4 linked regions of the Caenorhabditis elegans genome follow. The protein of the gene in region 4 interacts with the protein of the main gene of each other region in a pairwise test. Each region holds a gene or a part of one and is shown on either strand. Other genes may lie near its edges. The genes, in order: fbl-1, tac-1, C39D10.7 and lin-37.

Evidence for each region.
Region 1: the proteins of lin-37 (region 4) and fbl-1 interact in a two-hybrid assay, tested with the Caenorhabditis elegans proteins (3 studies listed by BioGRID).
Region 2: the proteins of lin-37 (region 4) and tac-1 interact in a two-hybrid assay, tested with the Caenorhabditis elegans proteins (3 studies listed by BioGRID).
Region 3: the proteins of lin-37 (region 4) and C39D10.7 interact in a two-hybrid assay, tested with the Caenorhabditis elegans proteins (3 studies listed by BioGRID).

The regions. Positions count from the first base shown.
Region 1 is NC_003282.8:9,538,856-9,545,772, reverse strand, and holds fbl-1 (Fibulin-1), read right to left. Parts: upstream 4,966-6,917; 5' UTR 4,922-4,965; coding exon 4,882-4,921; intron 4,729-4,881; coding exon 4,493-4,728; intron 4,446-4,492; coding exon 4,292-4,445; intron 4,173-4,291; coding exon 4,020-4,172; intron 3,739-4,019; coding exon 3,481-3,738; intron 3,046-3,480; coding exon of another isoform or gene 2,905-3,045; intron 2,806-2,904; coding exon 2,730-2,805; intron 2,687-2,729; coding exon 2,577-2,686; intron 2,479-2,576; coding exon 2,338-2,478; intron 2,240-2,337; coding exon 2,136-2,239; intron 2,095-2,135; coding exon 2,014-2,094; intron 1,968-2,013; coding exon 1,643-1,967; intron 1,555-1,642; coding exon 1,428-1,554; intron 1,279-1,427; coding exon 1,073-1,278; intron 907-1,072; coding exon 662-906; 3' UTR 530-661; downstream 1-529. UniProt on the Caenorhabditis elegans protein: Incorporated into fibronectin-containing matrix fibers. Plays a role in cell adhesion and migration along protein fibers within the extracellular matrix (ECM).
Region 2 is NC_003280.10:14,752,390-14,755,505, forward strand, and holds tac-1 (Transforming acid coiled-coil-containing protein 1), read right to left. Parts: upstream 1,489-3,116; 5' UTR 1,487-1,488; coding exon 1,258-1,486; intron 1,195-1,257; coding exon 858-1,194; intron 806-857; coding exon 589-805; 3' UTR 502-588; downstream 1-501. Other genes in the region: smg-9 (Nonsense-mediated mRNA decay factor SMG9), read right to left, coding at 1-100; Y54E2A.4 (Activating signal cointegrator 1 complex subunit 3), read left to right, coding at 2,280-2,316, 2,376-2,596, 2,644-2,841. UniProt on the Caenorhabditis elegans protein: Involved in microtubule formation, polymerization and assembly, regulating microtubule nucleation and length. Plays a role in pronuclear migration and mitotic and meiotic spindle elongation during early embryogenesis.
Region 3 is NC_003284.9:7,907,901-7,915,475, forward strand, and holds C39D10.7 (Chitin-binding type-2 domain-containing protein), read right to left. Parts: upstream 6,031-7,575; coding exon 5,884-6,030; intron 4,876-5,883; coding exon 4,742-4,875; intron 4,687-4,741; coding exon 4,582-4,686; intron 4,529-4,581; coding exon 4,359-4,528; intron 4,314-4,358; coding exon 4,130-4,313; intron 4,059-4,129; coding exon 3,636-4,058; intron 3,459-3,635; coding exon 3,213-3,458; intron 3,167-3,212; coding exon 2,906-3,166; intron 2,265-2,905; coding exon 1,243-2,264; intron 1,189-1,242; coding exon 1,095-1,188; intron 991-1,094; coding exon 876-990; intron 831-875; coding exon 721-830; intron 675-720; coding exon 578-674; intron 530-577; coding exon 122-529; 3' UTR 66-121; downstream 1-65.
Region 4 is NC_003281.10:7,070,378-7,074,233, reverse strand, and holds lin-37 (uncharacterized protein), read left to right. Parts: upstream 1-1,681; coding exon 1,682-1,806; intron 1,807-1,855; coding exon 1,856-1,990; intron 1,991-2,427; coding exon 2,428-2,707; intron 2,708-2,754; coding exon 2,755-2,924; intron 2,925-3,114; coding exon 3,115-3,232; 3' UTR 3,233-3,344; downstream 3,345-3,856. Other genes in the region: ZK418.5 (BOS complex subunit TMEM147), read left to right, coding at 401-473, 520-653, 831-1,028, 1,079-1,215, 1,266-1,401; tmem-17 (transmembrane 17 domain-containing protein), read right to left, coding at 3,349-3,510, 3,578-3,700, 3,749-3,856.

The sequences.
Region 1 (6,917 bases), on a different chromosome or scaffold from region 4:
AACCTTTTGGCAAGCTCAACAAGTTAAATTTAAAGATAGTTTACAATTTTTAAGAGCTGCAGATCAATTGAAAAAAATACAAAATCATTTTTATCGAAAGGATCACAGAGTTCATAATTTTCCAGATATAACTCACTTACAAAATAACTCATGTACTCATGAAAACCTTTATAAATTAATGTTTATAGTCTACTACTAACCAATATTTCTTTCTTGAACAATTCTAAAGTGCCTTTGTCCAACATAATCCAAGTTGTAATCAACTGAAAATGGAACTCCCATATGTGTAACAATTCTTGACACTTCAATCGGTGAGATAATTGTTTTCAATGATGGGACTGCTCTGAATTGATAAAGAACTTCTCGTGTATGATTTCCAAGACATTCGGTATCTTCTGTTGAGCACACTTTGATGCAAGAATAACCATCAGCAATTTGGCTGAAAATATTTTAGACGTAAATTCAAAAATTTAAATTTACTGTTTCATTTCAGAAATATTTAAAATAATATTTTTATTTTATTCGATCTTGATGGGCTATACGAAACATGTCGAAATTGTCATTATCAAAATATTTATTAATCCATGCAAATTTTGAGATCATCACAGCAAGTCACACTATTCAAACATTATCAACAAAACAAAGTCATACAAAATTGTTTCTATCGAATCTTCATGAGCGGTGGATGAACCGTATTATGTCGCTTGTGAGCTGCCACATCGACAATCAGGTTGGCAGCGTATGTGTTGAAGTTTTTGCCTTTTTTGCTCATTCTGAGTAAAAGTTGCAATTTCACTGTCTGTGGTCCATCCAAACTATCCCGAAGTGTTACAACTGCACTATTTCGTTTTTCACCTTTTTGAAGTAAAAAATTAGCTCGAATAGCTGGAAGAACGTTTGGAGCACCTGAAATTAGGTGGGCTAGGGTTAGCGTAAAGGTAATCAAGAAAAACTGCTAAAAAACACTCTTCTAATATGACTTCCTAATTTTTTAGAAATGCTGAAGTATGTGTATTTCAGAGCATTTTTGAAATAGCAGTCTCTATAGATACAGTCAGTAGAAAATTCATACCAACTATAGTAGTCTTCAATTGTAATTCAAAGTTGACTTCAGTGTCTGCATGATTTGGAGCAGAAACTTTAAACAAAGTGATTGCAGGACGATGAGATGAAATAGGTACAGCACGTGCCAAAGAAATAAACTGATAGGTTAAGAATAATGGTACTTTTGAACATTCTTCAGGCAAACCACATGCTGATGGTTGACGATTACAACGACTGAAAATATTGTTAGTGGAACATTCAAACGTATTAGTTCAGATACTTTGCAGACATCCAATTTTCTATTAAGACTATTCATGAATTGGGAAATTTCAAGAAAAATTAGGGTAAGCTTATGCAAAAATTATATAGCTTTAAAAACTAACTTTTTGTTCAACGAGTCGTGAATATAGTTAGTTGGGCAATCGATGGAATGACATTTGAACGATCCAAGTGTATTAACACATACTTTATCCGATCCAGCGCATTCTCCCATGGCACACTCGTCAACATCTAAAAGTATTTGCAATGTCATAAAATTTAACTGGAAAACCATTTTCGAGACAAGAATTCTTGTTCACGAAAGTGAAGTTCAACGAACCAACACAAGTTCTTCCATCCGGTTGAATTTTGTATCCAGGTGGACATTGACACAAATATGATCCTTTTGTATTAATACATCCTCCCATGCACAAATCGTTTCCAGACCCCGCCCAAATTGAGCATTCGTCAATATCTTCGCATTTTGTTCCATCAGGACCAAGTGCAAATCCTCGATCACAAATACATTGATAACTTCCAGGAATGTTAACACATTTCTGTTCACATGCAGCAATTCCAGTTGTACATTCATTCACATCTTCACATCGACGACCATCTGAAGCAAGCTGGAATCCTGGTTTACACTTGCATTCAAATGAACCAATCTGAAAAGTGAACTGAAAATGAGGAAACTTCAAAGCAAATTCGTACAGTGTTAATACACTCGGCTGATAAATCACAAACATGACCAGCAAACTTGATACACTCATCAACATCTTCACATCTCTTCTTCTGAAATAAATCTTTTTTGTGATTATTTTTTTTCTTATTACCGCATCATTAAATTCATATCCAGGTCCACACTTGCATTTGTACGTTCCCGGAAGATTTATACATTCCATTGATCCACAGACTCCTTGTTGGCATTCATTCACATCTGAAAACCGTATTTTATGGTTTTAAATATTTTAGAGTTTCAGTGATATTAATTGAAAGTAAACTTTAAATTTCATTAGTCACAAATAAAAAACGTACCTTCACAGAATCCAGTAGCTCCGTTAACTTCATATCCATGAGCACACAGATTTCCTTTTTGTTGGCATCTGAATGATCCAGGGGTGTTCACACATTCTTCACCAGCTCCACAGTTGTGGCCAGTAACACACTCATCGATATCTGGAAAGTATAGTATAGTCTCCCCTTGTAAATATTATGAAACATTAATTGTTTTTAGTTTAACAACTGAAACACAATATGATGTAATAAAGACTCGCCATTGCACATTCCGTTCTTTGGATAATATCCATTTGGGCAAGTAATCGATGTACATTCTCCAGTCATTGGATTCTGAAGTTCTCCATCTCCACATTTTTTTGCGTCGCATCTATAATTTAATATGAATTTATTTCAATGTTCCAATCACGAACCTATAACTTCCTTGTGTATTTCTGCATTGATAGAGTGGTCCACAGTCATGAGATCCCAAATTGCATTCATCAACATCTTCAACAAAAAAATATTTACAATTAAAAGTGTTATTCAAAATTATCAGAAAGCAATTGTTTCTAGAAGACGCCAAAAATTAGAAACAAAAATTCAAACCACGACACCGCTCAGTTTCAGAGTCCATTGCATAACCAGTTCCACATGAAAGTGTTCGGATGCATTTAAAGCTTCCAGGAGTATTCAAACATCGTTGAGATTCCAAACAATCGTCCATCAGTGTGGCACACTCATCAATATCTGGAGTTAGTTTTGGTTAGTTTTTCAGCAAGCGAGTTTGTCAGTGATGTTCAAAATTTTCGAAAAATATTATATTGTCAATTAACATAGCTTCCAATTTCTCATTCAGTTAGTCATTTAAAAAGCAAGAACCTTCACACTGCGAGTTAGTATCACTCCAATAATATCCTCGATTGCAGACACAGGAACCATCGCCACGATTATTCCCAGGAGAGGGTAGACAATGTTGATTAGAATGTGAACATGGATGATGGAGAGAACATTCTAGGGATTGAGGGTTAGACAGACAGCACACGACAAATATTATTTCAAGAAACAGTTAATTTAGAATTAGATTAAACTTTAATTTTTTGAATTTAAAGTGCGCAAAAAACAATAAGCACACAACTTTTTAAATTTTGTTTTTTTTTTAATTTTCTTGTTAAATTATCTTACCAACGCAATGTCCATGTTGAAAAAGCCATCCCATTGGGCATCCAAACTCTGTATTTGCTTGTGATGCTTCTCTATATTCTCCAGCACGAGAATATGGATCGTCTCTCATTCTTCTTGGCGCATTGCCAATTCGATTGGCACGATGACGATGGGGAACAAGACGAGAAATTCTTCTCTGACAGATATATCCACCAATTGTGTTAACACAATCTTCAGACTGGGTACATGGGGATTGGCGGGTTAAACATTCGTTACGATCTGAAAGAGAAGCACAAAAGGTATGTGGGTAAGCTAGAGGACCGGGAATGGATGTAGTGAAAGTGGGAAAACTTTTTTCTGAAATCGTGAAATAACAAAAGAAAATTATCAAAGCTGCCAATTTGCATAAAATACATACCAATTTTCAGATAAACAGTGTGATGTTAATTTTACTATGTATTTTACTATTAATTTTATTATTTTCCATTCAAAATTAAATTTTCGAAAAGTTCTAACTTGGTTTTGACCTGCACAAAAAAAAGCGTAAAACATATTCATACCTACACAAGCCATTCCATCTGGTGCCAAGTCGAATCCAGATCTGCAACTGCATTCAACCTTTTCGCCTCCACGATCATGACAGAGGTGCTCACAGTGAGATGACGCACATCGGTCGCCGAGATGAAGTACATGTGGATCATTGAGTGGACGTCCTGTAAAACATGAAAAAACAATTTTAACATTAAATCGGGTATTTTTTATGAAAAGTTCCGAATTAAATTATTTCAATTTTTTAAAAAGAAATAATATTGAAAATGTTCTGTTTTCCTACCAGTTATGATCTCGGAAGCATGTGTGATTTCAATGTCACCATTACAACATTTATTGAAACTTCTCAAACATCCAGCTGAAAATCCAACTGGAGCAACACACGGTTCATTTCGATTGAGCAAATCTTTGGCTAGAAGACAGCAATCACAACACTCCTGAAATCCATCTCAATTTATATTTTTATTCGATTTTTTAAAATTACTTTTTTCAATCCACCTCCCAAAATATTTATATTACTTGGGCAGCTCTCCTCTTCTTTTGCAATATCTGTACCAGAGTCACATGCATTATCCAATAAACTTCTGAGACAACATATGGATGCAGCTCTTTGGCACGTCATACTTGTTCCTTCGCTTTTGATACTTGAACAAGTATTTGAATTCTTGAAATGACGAGTTCCTCCAGCACAACATCTTGTAAGTTCGTTGGCAAAGGTCTCTGAAAATTTTGAAAGTTTCCCGTTGTTTGTGATAGTTTTCTTTTTATGGATAATGTTAGAAAATGGCCTATTTTCAAAGTGTTTTTGAGGGCCCTCTTTATTAATTATTCATAAAATTTAAATAAATATTTGAAAAAATTTAAAAAGCTTACCTGCCACCAAAAATGCCAATAATAAGAAACAAATTCGCATATTTCTATCCAATCTACTAAAATTTCCACGGGGTTTCCGTAATTCTGTAAGAAAGCAGATAATGTTGTAACGGAAACACAAAAAGTTGTGAATTGGAACGGAAGTGGCACGACACAAAGAAAATGAGTAGGATTTCGAGGAAAGATCAAATAATATCACATCATCATGTGCTCATTTAGATCATATTTCGTACACAGGGCAAGTAAAAAAAGTTTGTACTGAAAACTTTCAGATTTTTAAAAAAAGAAGAATAAAAGAAAAAACTCCCATAAAAACAATGAAACTGATAAGAATTTATGAAAACGTGTGAAAACCTCACAAAAGCCGTTTAGTGATAAGTGTTACGCAAGACGCAAAAAGAATGATAAAACAGAAAATAATAACAATAAAAATAGCACAACATATTACTATTCTTATCACATTTTGCTCAAAAATTCGTTGTGTCTAAATCGAAAAGCTTTCCAACATTCCCGATTTGGAACCGCCCATCTATCTGCTTCTGCCTGCGTCTCATGTTCCCGCATTTTCCTTTCTAATCTAAGCTTATTGTTATTAATATTATTGAGATGTATGTAGATGTATATGTGCCCGTAAATGACACGGATAATAGTCTGGTTAATTAAGTGAAACAATTTCAAATGAGCATTGAAAGGAAGAGGGAGGAGCATTGGAACAGATGTTTACATGGAATGTTTCGAGGAAATGTGAGATTTTGGGTATATTTTTAGAACAGAAAAATGGCAAACGACACTGTTGAAACCAAAACAAAAAATTTATTTGAATTATTTTAGTTTTTGAAAATATTAAATTGAAAAAAAACGGTCTTTCATTGGAATAGCGCAAAATTGATCGACGGGGTTTATGGTGGATTTATAGTTAAAATCGGAAAATACCTATCCGATTTTTGTTTTACGTTTCAGGGCAACAATCATACTTACTCAGAATTTGGAGCTGACTTCTTGAGCAGTTTTTTCCCAAAAAATAGACTTGGTTGAGAAGTTGTGAAGCTTTTGCACAGTTTGAGTTAGACTTGTGAAACCATTATGAAGCTATTACCAAAGTATCTACAAGTTTGAACAACTATTTCCAATGTCTTATCCAATGTTACAACGACACAAAAAAGTTTTTGTAAGATACTGGCAAGAGTTTCCCAAAATTCTCTCTTGTTCTAGAGTTGGAAACGAAAATGGATAAAAAATAAACGCCAAGTGTTTTACAAGTTTTTACAAGTTTGCATATTTACAAGTTATATACATTTTCAAACTCGAAAACAGTATTTTCATAATCGGCAAGTGACTCATCTGTTTGAAACCTCTAAATAAAAAGTTTAACACTCAATCGCAACATAACACAATGTGAGAAAATGATACATCGTCAGTCAGTCAGCAGTCTTCTTCATCTTTTTTCTTTTCGTTTACATGATCAGAAGCATTTTCGAGGGCGGAGCTCGTAAAAAGAGATCGTAAACGATGGAGGAGGAATGAGTTCACATGTGATGGTACACATTCAGAAAATAAAATGAAAATCTTTTTTGAACTCAAAGGCATGAATGTTGGAAAAACATTGGGAAGTGGGGAAAATGGTGGGAAGTTTCAGGATTTGATTATTTTTGGTTAAAAATCCGGCAATTTCTTTTCTCGTTTGTATGAATATATTTCTTTTCTCGTTTGTATGAATATCTATATTTTAACCGTTTAAATTTCAGATCTTTTTGAACATAATTGAAATTTTTAAAGATTAGATAGATTGCAGTTTTTAAAGTTTTGTAGGAAATAACTGAAAATAAATATGTTCTTTGTTTCAAAAAAAAATGACTGCCAAATATTTGACACCACAAATTTTGTATGCGCCTTATACCTCTGATACTCGTTAATTCGGAGCCTCATTTTGGTTTGGAATAAACTAGGGGTGGCGATAGGTCGACCTGTTGCAACCTATTGCCACCCCTAAAGAAACACCGACCCGCTAGGTAGGTAGATTGCATAGACTGCATGGC
Region 2 (3,116 bases), on a different chromosome or scaffold from region 4:
CGATTTTCGGTGCTCCATGAGTTGGGCTCGCTGTGGAGGGTCGGGCAGCGCCTCCTGCAGATGATGGCCGAGATGTTTTCAGAATTTCCACTTTTTTCATCTGGAAAATTGCAAGATTTTAATAGAAATTTTGAAAGTTTTGCATACATTTTAATCAAAAAATTCGCTCAAAATCCATGCGGCAGTCTGAAAAGAGGTGTGCGCCTTTAAAGATTACTGTAGGAATTTTATTGACTTTTATTACAAAAACCTCGTAACAACGCATAAATTGTTTGGAAAAACAAGTGAGAACTAAAAAAATCAAAACAAATTCGGCCTGGAAATTACAGTACACTTTAAAGGCGCACACATGCTTGCATTTGGCAAATGTTTTTCGTGTCGAGACCGGGCGCTGTATCTTTGGCGCGAAAATTTAGAAGATTGTAGTTTTTCTCGGTAAAATACTGAAACGAAGCCTTTTGTACTTGTTTCTCATACAAATAATCTGGAAAACAAATAAATAAGCTGAAAAATTCATGTACAATTAGAAAATATAAGGCGGAAAGCGAAAAGGCGGGGGGAAGAAATATTATATTTTACAGAAATAAATTATGCATCCGTCGAAATAACGGACATCCCATCGGAAACGTCGACATCATTCAGAAGTTGATCGCAAATCTGTGAGAGCTCCGACACGCGGTTCGTGAGCACCTTGATCTCGTCGTTCTTGCTGGAGAGCTCGATTTCCTGGCGTTTTACACGCAGACGGAGTCCCTTTGTGTTCTCATCGTGGGATCGGAGAAGATCGTCGTACTCCACGGATGCTCTGAATTGAAATATATTCTTACATGTTGCAAATTAAATTTTCTCTCACTCACCTCTCAAGCTCAGAATTCGCATTATCCTTGACGGCGAGGAACTTTGCCTGCCACTCGTCAACTTCGGCGGCGGCGAGCTTCAGCTTGTCCCTCGCGTCCTCGTACTCGCCGCGGATGTCGTTGGCGGCTTCGCGAACCGTGTTGAACGAGGCGAACAGTGTCGCGTAGTTGGCGTGGAGCTTGTCGGCTTCGGCACGGGCGGCATCTCGATCTTTCAGCGCTTTTTCGAGCTCCTCGCTTGATGCCCCGCCGCCTCCGATGCCGTTTCCTGGCGTTGTTCCGTTGCAGCGGCCTTGTGAGATGATTTGGCCGTTTGAGCAGCGACGGACTTCGAATTCTGAAATTAATATGGTTTTATTCCTCTTAAAATCTCTTTTAGCAATTTTTCAAAGCTTCTCACCATCCGAGTGCAAGAGCCGCTCGATCAACTCTGTGAGCGCCTTCGTCGTGTGCTTCATCACAATGATGTCGCCTCTCGTGGCACCGCACAGTGTCTCCACTGAAGAACTGGGCTCCGCGGCTTCTTCAACCTCTGGCTCCTCGTTCTCCGGATGCCCATTTTGCGACCCGTTGAATGGGATGACGACCTCGGTTCCGTCCTCTTTGGTGAAGGTTGTGTTGAGCGACATCTGAAAATCGGATGAATTTAATAGAAAAAACCGACATTTTTCGTGAAAAACGGAGAAAATTAACGATTCTTCAGTTTTCCCGCGTCATCATTTATTTTCGTGGTAGGAAAATTGTTTTGAAGATTAGTATGCGCCTTTAAAACTTCTGTAGTTCAATTTTCTTGTTTTACAAGGCTTTACAAGAGGGTTTCAAAATAATTGAAACAAATTTTTAATTAAAAAAGTCATTTTTTAATTTTTAATTCAAAAAAAATCAGTAAAAACCATAACCAACAACAAAAAAAGCACGAAAAAAGAGTCCACAAGAGTAATCGTGGCGGGAAAATCAATACAAAAATTGGACTGCGCCTTTAAAAAGTACTGTAGAATTTTTTTAAAAACATTTTTTGTTATCTTTCAATTTTCAATGTTTCTCTTCATTTTAAACTATTTTAATGATTAAAAACACATCTTTATTGCGAAAAAAATTAATATAATACACTTTTGCATAAAAAACCGCCAAATAAAAGTGCAGTTGGCCTAGAAAGCGCTAGGTCAGAGAAGGGAAGCGGCCAGGACCTTATTTTGTTCATTTTTATTAATTTTCACCTTAAAACAGAGAAAAAAACAAAAATATTTGGCAATTAAACAAAATAGAAATTAAAAGTAATTAAAACTTAAAACTTCAGAAAAAAATCGATTTTTCAAAAATTGCGAAATTTTGAACAATGTTTGAACATCCTTCTCTCTTGAAAAATATAGTTTTTCATTTTAATTTTAATTCTAATTTTACAGCTGCCAAACTAGGTACAAAATGGATCTTCTCAACTATATCGAACGAATTGGAGATGGTTAGTTAGCTTTTTTTCCATTTTTTTATTAAAAAAATTTTTACCAGATGTTTTTTCAGATCCACCCTCACCATCACGGGTAGCAAGCTTCCACCAGGAAATTCAAATTCGATTTCCATCGGAATTTCTAGAATGGTCGAATTGTGAAGCTGAACAAGAAGGTTTTTCAGAAGCTCCAGAAGCTCTTTCCCTACCCCAAGTGCCTTCTACCTCGGGCTCTGGGAGCATTTTTCAGCCGATTGCTGACACATTGCTTATATATTTTCCAGATACGTTTGAGGTTGATTTTCGGCTAAAAAATCAAGTTTCTAACCTATTTTCCTTCAGACAATATCCCAAAACCTTCTACAAATGTTGTGCTCGACACGTTCCGATATGGATCTACAGGGCGAGCTCATCGATCTTCTCGGCGTCGAATTGTTCGAATTAGCCGGAGATATACTCGAAAAACGGAATAAAATAGTTTTCGAGGTGAAGAGCCAGGAGCTGGCGAAAGTTGAGCATGCGAGGCAGGCGAAGGCGAAGGTAATAGTTTTGAAAATTTTAAAAATTTGCTCTAAATGGCAGAATATAACAGTGAAAAAATTTATAAAAATTTTCTAATTTTTTTTTGATTTTTTGAATTTGGTTTTCTGGCTGTTTTTTTTATTTTTTTTCCATTTTTTACAATTTGGAACATAATTTGTCAATTTTTCGGACATTTTTCCACAAAAAACGTTTTTCAAAAATTAAATTATCGATTTTAGGCTAATTTTAGAGTTTCAACAAGTTTTTTACGGAAAAATTTCTGAAAATTTTAT
Region 3 (7,575 bases), on a different chromosome or scaffold from region 4:
ATTTATACATGGCAGTTTGCTGTCCCAATTTAAATGTTTAATGCTTCAAAACTCTTTTTTTCTAAATATAATAATTCATTGAAAACTCAAAAAAGACGTAAGGCAAAAATAAGTGTATATATTAATATGACTTATACGCAGAACTTGTAGTTGGGGCCACATATGAAGCTGTAGTAGTTGTGGTTGCATCTTGTGCTTCAGTGGTTGTCTCGTACGGTTTGTGAGTAGTGGTGGTTGGAGTCTCTACATCGCGAGAGGGAGTTGTTGCTGGTTCTTCATACTGTGTAGCGGTGGTGGTATATGCAGCTTTGTAGAGAACCTTTCCAGTAGTCGTTGTTTGAGGTTGATACGGGGCTGCAGTCGTGGTTGGAGCTGGCTGCTCAAATCTTTTGGTGGTGTAAGTTGTGTAACTAGATGTGACTTCAGCAACTGGAGGTATGTAATCATTGCCACAGTCCTTATTGGTGCTCTTATAATTACAAGTTTGCGTGTCCCCATTGTACACCAATGGAGCAATACAAGTTCCAGACTGAAAAGCATATATTATTTTTGAATGTATATATTTTAATAAACTCACAAAGGCTCTTCCGTTGTCACAGACAATGTAATGTGGGGAGCACATTTTGAGGTGGTGGAGTCCGTTAGATCTGATCGTGCAGAAATCACTTGGCACTCTGAAAGTAAATGTTTCATCAGAGCAGTAACATGACAAAATCTTACGCTGGAGGTGTTCTGTCTAGAGTGGTTGCAATTGAGCATTCCTTTGCGTCAATTGGGAATACACACTTTTCGGATTCCTTGGAGAATTTGAGACTGTTCGGGCAGCTCATCTAAAAAATTTTGCGAAATACTGAACAACATTAATCGGAACATACCTTACGAATCTGTTCATCAATGCAGGAAAAGTAATATGAGGAGCACCCAGCAGAGTAATAACCATCTGATTTTCCAAAACAAGCATTCGAATCGATTATGTCAGATCCTTTGCCGCTAAAATTATTAAAATGAAAGTTGAAAGTTCTTTAAAAAACTAAGTTCATTAGGTACGATTACATTAATCCACCACATCAAATTCAGTACTCCGATATGCTTACATTTTGCATGTATCCACGGTGTGTTTGTAAGCACACATTCCATTCTTTTCGTTGTAAAAAAGTCCGGGGGCACATGAGGAAATAAGTGAACGACCTGCAATTAATAATTGCTTACTTTCAGATAACTTGTGATTTTGCACAGTCTAACCTTGCATGCATTGAACGTAGTCTTGTGAGCAGTACGGAAGAGCATAGATTCCATCAGGACGTCCGGAGCAGGAGAACGCCTTTGCCAACGGTGTGGTGTCTACTGGTCCTGGAGTTGTGGAGGTGTAATCAATGTTTGGGTAGTTGTAAGTTGTATATTTTGTCGTGCCTGGTTGCTCTGCTGCTGGTGTTGTAGAAGGAGTTGGCTTGTATTCTGGGCAATCTTCGACATGCTCCTTGTAGTCACATCGATTGTTCAATTTGCTGTAAAACAATCCTGCGGGGCAACGATTAATTGTAGTCTCAAAGTTGTTGCACGAGATGTAATAGTCCTCACAATCAAGACCGTAGTTTCCATTTTCGAGTCTTTCACAGAAAGCAGCATGCTGTGGCGATGGAGTGGTCACGGATGGATTGTACGCTTTGGTGGTGCTTTGAGAGTATCCATAGTTTTGATATGAAATGACTGGTTGCTCGGCAGCTGGTGTTGCGTCTGTAGTTGGTTTGTACTCTGGACATCCCTCCACATTTTCCTTCACGTCACATTTATCTTGTAGACGACTGTAGTACAATCCTGACGGGCAAGGGAACTTGAATGTTTTACGATTGTAGCATTTGATCAAGTATTTTTCGCAGTCAAATCCATAGTTTCCATCATCACGTTTTGCACACATTGCAGCGTATTTTGGGGATAGAGTTGTTGTGAAGATTGTTGATGTGTATTGTGGTGCGTACCCTGGAGTAACCGGAGTATATTCAATTGGAGCATATCCTTGGGTGGTACTTGGTTGTTCATATGGTTTGCTGGTAGTTTTAGGGTAGGAGTATGATGGAGTGGTGGTTGGTTGGTACCCTTGACAATCTCGGACATTCGTACTGTAATCACATTCTCCGACATATGGATTGAAGATCAGATTTGCTGGACATGTAGTTGCAACGACTTGTCCGTTTGCGCAAATGTAGAATACGCTCTTGCAGAGACCAGAGGCATGGTTTCCATCAGCGAGGTGTTTGCAGGAAAAGCTGGAAAGTATAATTATAACTGGAACACTTTTGACAAAAATGTTGTAAGCTCTTAGGGGGAATTTTTGTTTGAAATAGATTAAAATGGTTTCCGCTGCTTAACCTAAAACATTAATTGAAAAACCTTTAAAAAAATTTTCCTTGAAATTATACAATATACTTCTTACTTTTAAATTGGATAAAATTCGTAATTGAACAATATCTCAAATTTTTTGCCGCTTTTTTAAATCAGATTTCAGCTATTTGCATAATCTCAGATAGTCTCAAATTATTTGAAAAAAATAAACTAGAACATTAAAAATAACACAGCTGTGTCTTTACACATTAGAAGTTTTCCAACTAAAGGAACGCAATTTTTGTCGGAAACTGTCTGATTGAGAAAATTTCTAAAAACTTTCATTCAGTTTCCAAGATGTTTGTTAAATTTCAAATACCTCCAATAGCATTTTTGTGACAGACACTGTCATTGAAGATATTTTATGAATCTAATTCCTTGAAAAAACTGGAAAAAGTTAGATGTCTATTTCAGGAACTCCCAATTGAGTAAAATTGAGTAAAAATTGAGTAAAAAAAAGCTGCTAAAATTTTTATAGTGATCTAGTCCAAAGAGGGAGTTTTTTCCTTGAAATTAAAAAACTCACTCGTCCAAAGCAATTGTAGTTGTGACTGGAGCCTGAGTAGTGTATGTAGCTTTTGGTTGTTCATATCCAACAGTGGTCGGAGCCTTGGTGTAAATTGGACGTCCGTAAATCGTTGATGGCCGTTCAGTGTCTCTTGGTGGCTGTGTGTACGGCTTTGTTGCTGGTTGTTCAGTGGTTGTGTACACTACGGACGACGAGTATCCAATTGTAGTAGTTGGAGTGTCTTCACCTTTGTAAATTTGAGATGGTTCCATGTAGTTTCTGAAATTTTGATTTTATAACTTTTCAAACAATTTGAGATTGGTACTTTTCACAGTTTTCAGCAAAATCACAGGTGCCAGTAGCTTTGTTAAAGACTAGATCGCCAGGACAGTCATTCGCAAAAGCTCTTCCATCGTGACAAGTGAAGAAGCTTTTGGTGCATGCTTCCTTGATGTACTTTCCGTTTGGTTTTCCGGTACAGTCAAAGTCTACTTTCACTTCAGCTGGTCTCTCGTTATAGGCTCCTCCGTGATTGTAAAGAACAGGTACATCTTCTGGTTTTCGTGGCTCTCTAAATTTTGTTTTTAGATTTGACTTATTTATATCATATTTATGAGAAGATTATTACGAAAGTAAATCAACTTCCGATTCAGATTTTTTCTTGAGTAAACCTTATGACAGGGAAACTGACAAAAACTCCAAACCTATACAGTAACAAATTTCAATTTGAAATGAATATTCAACTTACAGACAAATTGCTGCGAATTCGCAAGCTGACACTCTTGTGTCGAATACAAGATTATCCGCGCATTGAATAACCCGACCAACTCCGTTGTCACAACTCAAAAATGATGCGTGGCACTCTTTGATTCCAAAGATTCCGTCTCTATTTTTGCAATCTCCGTGTACTGCTGGATTGTATCTGACTGTTGAAGAGAAGACAGGTGAAGGTGTAGCTTCAGTTGGAACATATGGGGCAGCAGTTGGATTTTGTGGTGGTGGATTTGGTGGAGCTGCTGATGTCGAGCGTGGGACGTAGGTTGTTCTTGGTGGGGAATAGACTGGCGCGGAAGCTGGAGCATATGGGGTTGGATCCACTGGAGCTTCAGCAATTGACCCATAAGAAGAAGAAGAAGTAGTGGTTTTTGGTGCTCTATACGAAGTTTCGGAGCTGAAATAAATTACCCAAAAGTAAGTTTTGTTAAGTTTTCTTCATTTACACAACAAATTTGATCAACTCACCCGTTATATTCTGGACAATCTTTCACAGACTCTGGAAAGTCACACAGGTTTTGGTCCAAAACGTAGATTAGCTTTTCTGGACAAGTTTTTCTGAACAGCTTTCCATTCGAACACTGCCAGAAATATGGGGAACACTTCACGTTATCAGTGAAATGCATGTCTCCAGTAACTTTACAGTCCAATCCTTAAATAAACATTTTTAATGATAATAATACTAGTAAGGCCGAACCATTGTGCCCATTTTCAAATTCTTTGGTAGTGACGATGTAGTTATCCGAATCATATGTTGGTGAAGCATAGGCAGCAGCTGCTTGATCTTTAACTCCTCCAGAAGCATTACAGTTGGTGTGGTAATCGCATCGCTTGAGAATTGGAACGTATACTTGCTGGTATGGACACCTTCAAATTGATTATGTGTTTTCTTTAATAAGTTTTCTGCACTTGAAACTAACTTTCTCATGTAAGATATTCCATTTGCACACTGATAATAGTTTTCATTACACACAGTCTTGTCCAGTGCATAATCCCCACTAAGTCTGCCCACACAATTTATCGAACTGAAATTTTTCAATTAAAATATTTCAGAAAAAATAATTTTCCAATAAAACTCACACGGCCTTTTGGCGGACATTGAGTGTTACACGATCACCTGTGGCACAGAGATGGTTGCTAGAACGACGCTCACAACGTGCTAATAAGCGGTCAAAATAAAGACCCTCTGGGCATGACTGCTCATATTCAACATTCTGAAAATTATATAAAAAATTTTAATTAAATTCAGATTTATGGTTTAAACATTCCCTTACAATAGTTTTCCATTACTTTGAAGTGGTCTCAAAAGAAATAAGAAAAGAAAATAAATATTTGTTTCATTAAAAAATGGTATCAGCTAGAGATGCGTATGGGTCGTAATGGGTCGACTCGCCTATTTCACAGTTATTCTTTTTTTTCTCACAATGGCTCGCTTTTTGTCGCTTTTTTTTCATTTTCAAAGTATCATGAAAATTTTCGAGCTAAAAAAATTTGGTATTATCTTTAAAATTCGAAAATTTGAATTGCAAATTTTTATGACTGTTCTATTGCAAAATATGTGACGTGAAAGGTACAAATATTGCAAATCGTTATAGTATATTTTTTAAAGATGTAAGTTGAAAAATTTAATGTCTGACTTTGGCATGAAATAGTATTTTTTCGATAAAATAATGAAAATAATGATCCCTCCAAAAAATTTAGCTGCCCCGATCCAGGTTCAGCAAAGTTATGACGTTTTGAAAGTGACTAAAACACCTTTTTACAAAATTTCAAAATTTTCAAAAAAAAAACATTTTTTTCTAAAAAGAGGAAAAAATGTTTGCAAGTTGTTTTAGCTCACAACTCTCAAGAAAACCCACAAACTAATCTACCAGAAAAAGTACTTTTTGGAATTTTGCTCAAGGTATGTGGTTTTTTGTCCGTGGTGAGAAAAAACGTGTATGATATATGCTTTTCACTGTTTTGGATAAGTTAAAACAGTTTTTATCGATTTTCAGAAAACAATTTTTTTTTTTGAAATTTTAAAAGTTTTTTTTTTGGTAGGTCAAGAAATTTTTTCGGCACTTTCAAAACATCATAACTTTGCTAAACCTGGACCGGGGCAGCTAAATTTTTTGGAGGGATCATTATTATCACTCTTTTATCGAAAAAATACTATGTCATGCCAAAGTCAGACATTAAGTTTATCGACTTCCCTTGTAAAGCTCCAAAAGAAAACTCACGTTGACACACTGAAGATACTTTGAGCTGCAACCAACAGCATAAAGCCCGTCACCATCCGGGCATGGTGGTCCTTTCGGGTTCAGAACATTTTTGGCGTCCGCCGAGATGAGGATGACAGCCGCCGCAAATATTGAAAGCTGTCGCATCTAAAAAATAAAAAGAAAATTGCGAGAAGAAAATTTGAAAGAAATGTGAATGATTGTTTATCTGAAACACAATGCTTTTATATTGTCAATCTGTTCTGTCTTGGATGGTGGGCGGATTTTGTTCTGCTCTTATTGATAAAAAGCTAGAAAACCTGTAGATTGGAATTCAGATATTGATCAAAAGCCCAATCCATCAGATATTTATTAATAAATAAAAGAATATCAAGCACTAAAAAAGAAAAATGAATCAACGAAACATTCACATTCTTTTCTTTGCAAGTATAGTGTTCAATCTAGAAAGAATAAGTACCTCGAAAACTGAGATCTTATTTTATTTTCGTTTTTCCTTATGACAATCTCTAAGTTTACCGGGTGACCCGGAATGAACGAATTGACGTATCCAGTCAATAGTAATTACGAGATTATTGACTGTTTACCACAAGAAAACACGACTTGCAAATCGTGCAAAAGTTCGGACAGCCTTGGAAACGGATGATGTTCGATGCGCATGTGTTTTTGTAGAAAAAAAACGGATTAGAAAGATATTTCCGGAAACTATAGTATTTTTCTGGCATTGTCAAAATTAACCTGGTTGTAGAATAATTATATCTTCTTAAAAAGTACCTTATCGACGAAACAACATGAGATTTACAAACGAAATATTCAATAAAGTAGCGAATATAATTATAATTAATTGCTGAACATGTTCTGGGTAAGTTTTTTTTGAATCTCTAATATAACGATTAAAAACTGAATTTAACATAAAATCGTTTGTAGCCAAAAAGAGTAAATGTGAAATAGTAGTAACACAAATAATGTTTCAACCGTAATTTTCCTTCATAGTTTAACATGTTTCACTTAAAATTTTATTTTAACTATTTTTATTTACATTGTTAAATATCGCAACCAGTTAATTATCACGAGTGTTTATTCCAGGTTATTTAATTAGTCACACTAATCAATTTGAAACATACAATTTTAAAATAATCAATCTGCATTATTCAATTCGCATACCCTTCTCGAAACAGTTCTGACGTAGTGACCTCTTCGAGCCTCACCATTGCTCTTCTCGATCCCGCCCACAGTTGATATCTCTTATCATTTGAATCTTCCGGCAGCATTTGTCCTGGAAGAAAAATGTTCATTTCCTGATGGGAAAATTTTCAAGCGAGAACAACTATTGCACAATCTGTGATATTCTAACATTTTCCGCATTGCTGTCAAAAATGATATCACTTATAAGAAGTATGAGTATACATGAAATCATTAATTCCATTCCAGGTGAGATGGAAGTTGAAACAGAATTAGAAATTAAAGAAACGTTATATATTTGGAAATTATTCATAGTCTTGTTACAATTAAAAATTAAAAAAAACTGTCTGTTTTCTAGACTACAATAAAAGAAAATGAGACTTTTTTTCGAAAAATAAAAAAGTTTGAAAATACATTCAATTTGTTAATGTATGAAAACGTATTTGAAACTGCTTTACTAAATTCAATAGGGTATTTATTTCAGCTAAAAATTCAATATATAACCTCAACTAG
Region 4 (3,856 bases):
GAATTCGAAAAGTCTGCCATATGATAGAAAGTCCTATTCAAACTTCGCGCGTAAATGGTTCTCAATAAAGCGCGGTTGCACTACTCTTTTTTTGTCGCTCTTCGTCAACTTCTGGTAGCGTGAGCCCTTCAAATATCATCATTCAAATGCCCATTTTATCGATTTTATTGAATTTTAGTTATTTTAAATCCAATGATTATTCTCAAAATGAATTTCATAATCATCGGCTGGTGTTTTTGAAGGTTTCTAGTGTGTCCAAACGAAATTTATAGTCCTAAAATATTAACATTCAGTAATTCATAATTGCTTAAGAATTAAAAATTACCTTCTTTGTTCCTTGATATCAAGTATATAGTTTTAATATTAATTCAATATCTTTCAGGTAAGCTAAATCTACAAAATGTCATTTTTCCATTTCATCAATTGCTTCGCGTTGGCATTTGCACCATATTTTATTGTCTACAAATACTCAGGTAATATTTTTTATGGGAAGTCAATGAAACACCACTATTTTTATAGGAATTAACGAATACAGTTCCATCTGGAAATGTGCAACTGCTAGTGGTGGATATTTGCTGACACAACTCGCCAAACTGCTTATCATTGCCACATTTTTCCCAGCCCTCGACAGTGAAGGATTCAGTATTGTGCCGGTATGTAATTAATTTTTCTATTCAAAATTGGAGCTATAAATAACGTTTCAATGAAAATCATTTTAATTCAAGTTTTAAGTGAAATTTACCATAAACCCATCCTCGCCGGACATAATCCTTCGGACACTTCAAACTTATTGATTTTGGTTTTCATTGCCAATCTCAGAATCATTGCAGGAATTCCTAAAAAGCAGTGCTGACATCATCGATGTCATTGGGCTTCACCTTCTGATGACCAACTTCTTAGCCGGAAAAGGAGAAGTTCGATTCGTTGTCGGTGGTCTTGGCTGGGGATTCGCTCATTCTGTTGCTCATCGTCTTGTTCTTTTATGGGTTGGAGCTCGTGGAACCGCTTTCACATGGCGTTGGGTTCAGGTGATCAAATCTTCCTTTTTTCTGAAAAAAAGATAATATTATATTTTCAGACATCTCTTGATTCCTCAGCTGATCTATTGGTTATTGTGTCTCTCGCCTGCCTTACATGGATGATCACCCGCACTCCAAACAAGTTCTTGGTGTCACCGATCCTTGCGATGTGTGTCTTCTCAACATTCGTTTATCAGTAAGTATTGGTTTTACTAGTCAAAAAATGTAAATTTTTTTTTATTTCAGAACCGTTCAACACACATTCTCTCTCTACGGATGGTCTCTCTTGGCATTCCGCTTTGCCTACTCCATCGCAACAGCAATTCTCACCGTCGTTGTCTATTCGGCAAACCGGACAGCGTCCACAAGAAAGAACGAGTAGCAACACATATTCTGCTATAATTCACTTTTTGTCAGTTTCAATACTATCTTAGATTCTTTCAGAATTTATATATTTATTCGAAATTTTCTTCTCTCCTTGTTCATGTTTATACAAGTACCCAAAAATATTTATTGTTTAATTTAATAACTGCTTCAAAAATTGTCGTCCTTATATTTACTCTACAATTTTTATCTCTTTTTATTAAAGGTTAAATACCTTTATTACTTTGGCAAGTATTCGCTGTTCACTGTCCAAATAATGTATTCCTCTCCAATTCTAGATGTCAGAAATAGATCCACTTGCCGAGTTCTTGCTTCCAGAAGACGGAGATCGAAATGCTCGTCAAAATGATCCATTGATAAGCGGAGGTCCACTTCCATTGGAATCGCCAAGCAGAAAACTCACGTAATACTTTCTAAACTTGAAACAATTGTGCTACTCAAGATGCTTCCAGATCCCTGTTATCCTATGATCCGACAGTTCCGGAGTCACCGGATATGAAATTCGCCAGAAAACGTCTGGGAAATCTGCTGACAACCATAAAACATCACCCATCGGAAATAATTGGAGTACTCCCAGAAGATTATACGTAAGTGATAAAATGGAAAATTTCAATTCTTGTTTAATTTTCGGCAGAGTATACCATGCCTGGGGCGAAAAATCATTTTTTTTTTGGTTTTGATTTTGTATCAAAAAGCAAAAATATGTAAAAAAGCCAAAAAAAAATTGGAGATTGAATTTTAAACCTTAATATTTGAGAAAAAGAATTAAAAACTATGCAGAGCCACATTTAGTTTGAAAGAAAAGTAAAATAAATTTTGTACACAGAAAACGTTTACAGTAAATACAGCATTTTTTTTCAGTTTTTTGGTTCCAGATAAATAGTTAATTTTTGTCAAATGTCGCGTCCTGGAATATACATAACAGAAAAAAATTTAGACAATGTGGACCTTTTTGTTTTTCGTAATATAAATTTTAGACATAATTGAAAAATTAGAGTTTCCATTGCATTTTTTATAATTTCAGTCGTGCTGATGAAGAGCCCGGGCGCCAAGGACGTCCACCAGGTCGCCCTCGTAAGATGCCGCGTCACGAATCTTCAACTTCACTTATGGAATCACCACGCAAGACTATGACTCGTGATTCTAAAATTATGTTTGAATTGCGTGGAAAACCATTCGAAATGATAGCTGGACGTTTTGAAGAAGAATATTCACTTGGTAGAGCATGGGTTAAAGGACACATGAATAATGAATATGAACCAATAAAAGCTCAAAGGACAGACTATGCACCGAATCTGGCTGTTGTGAGTGGGAAAGATTAAATGAAAAATGTTATAATTATTTCCTTCAGGATTATCTTGCATGTCGCGAGATTCATCGAATGCCACGTCCAGATAAATCAATTCCTGAGCTGCCAATTGTTCCATCTAGAATCGATGAATTCGACGCTACAGTCGATCCAAGATATGAAACAGATTTGAAAAATGAATACATTCGTCATTGGAAACAAGTCAAAAAAGGGTAACACTTCTTCTGCCATTGAAAATTTCCGTAAAAATTTATTTCTTAAAGTATTACGGTAACTGTGCTCTATGTTAGAATTTCATTTGTCGAATTTTGTATCAAACTATAAAATAAAAAATATTGTACTAGCAATCTGTGATCACTACTATTTCTTCAAAGTCAGAGAATCCAAAAAAAAAAATTTCAGTTGGTGTGCTCATCAACGTCGTCGGACTGCTCCCCATGCAAGAAGCATAGCATTAATCAACAAAATCTACCAGCCTGGAGAGTCGAAAACTGTCGAGCAAGCACTTGGTCTTATTTAAATATTCTAACATGTAATTTCAATTTATCTCTTACTTTCTGATCTTGCTATCACATGTCTCTTATTTCAAAAATCTCACTTTAAAATTCATATAAATAATGGGTTTATTCAAATACATCATCTTGACAATTGTTTTTTCAACGTTTTTCTTCCACTTTTTGGAGATTTTCCTGAAGTTTTCTCGAGCTCGTCAGCTACTTTTTCTTGTTGAATCTTGTTAATATATTTTGCAACTTCTCGTTCGGCAGTTTTCATCAAAGCTTCTATAGCGAATACAGTCTGAAATAGAAATATTTTGAGAATATTCAGATTTTTGAATTTTCACTTGAAATCCACTAAAAATCACAATCATTGTGTAGAAAACGTATTCAAGTGGGAGATTCAGAAAAGAGCCATTCACTGCCAAGAATACTGTAAGAGGAATTTGAATAATAATTGTAGTTATTAAGAATCCAAAAAGAGCTGACATCTGTAAACACTAGTGTCGATTTTCTGACTTGACTCATTCAAAACTTACATTTTCTGCCAAATTTCCATAAAATCCAAGTCCTAGCCGTACTCCTTCACTTCCCAAATGAACTAAACACGCAGAAAATGCAATTACTTGATACGTTAATGACAGCAG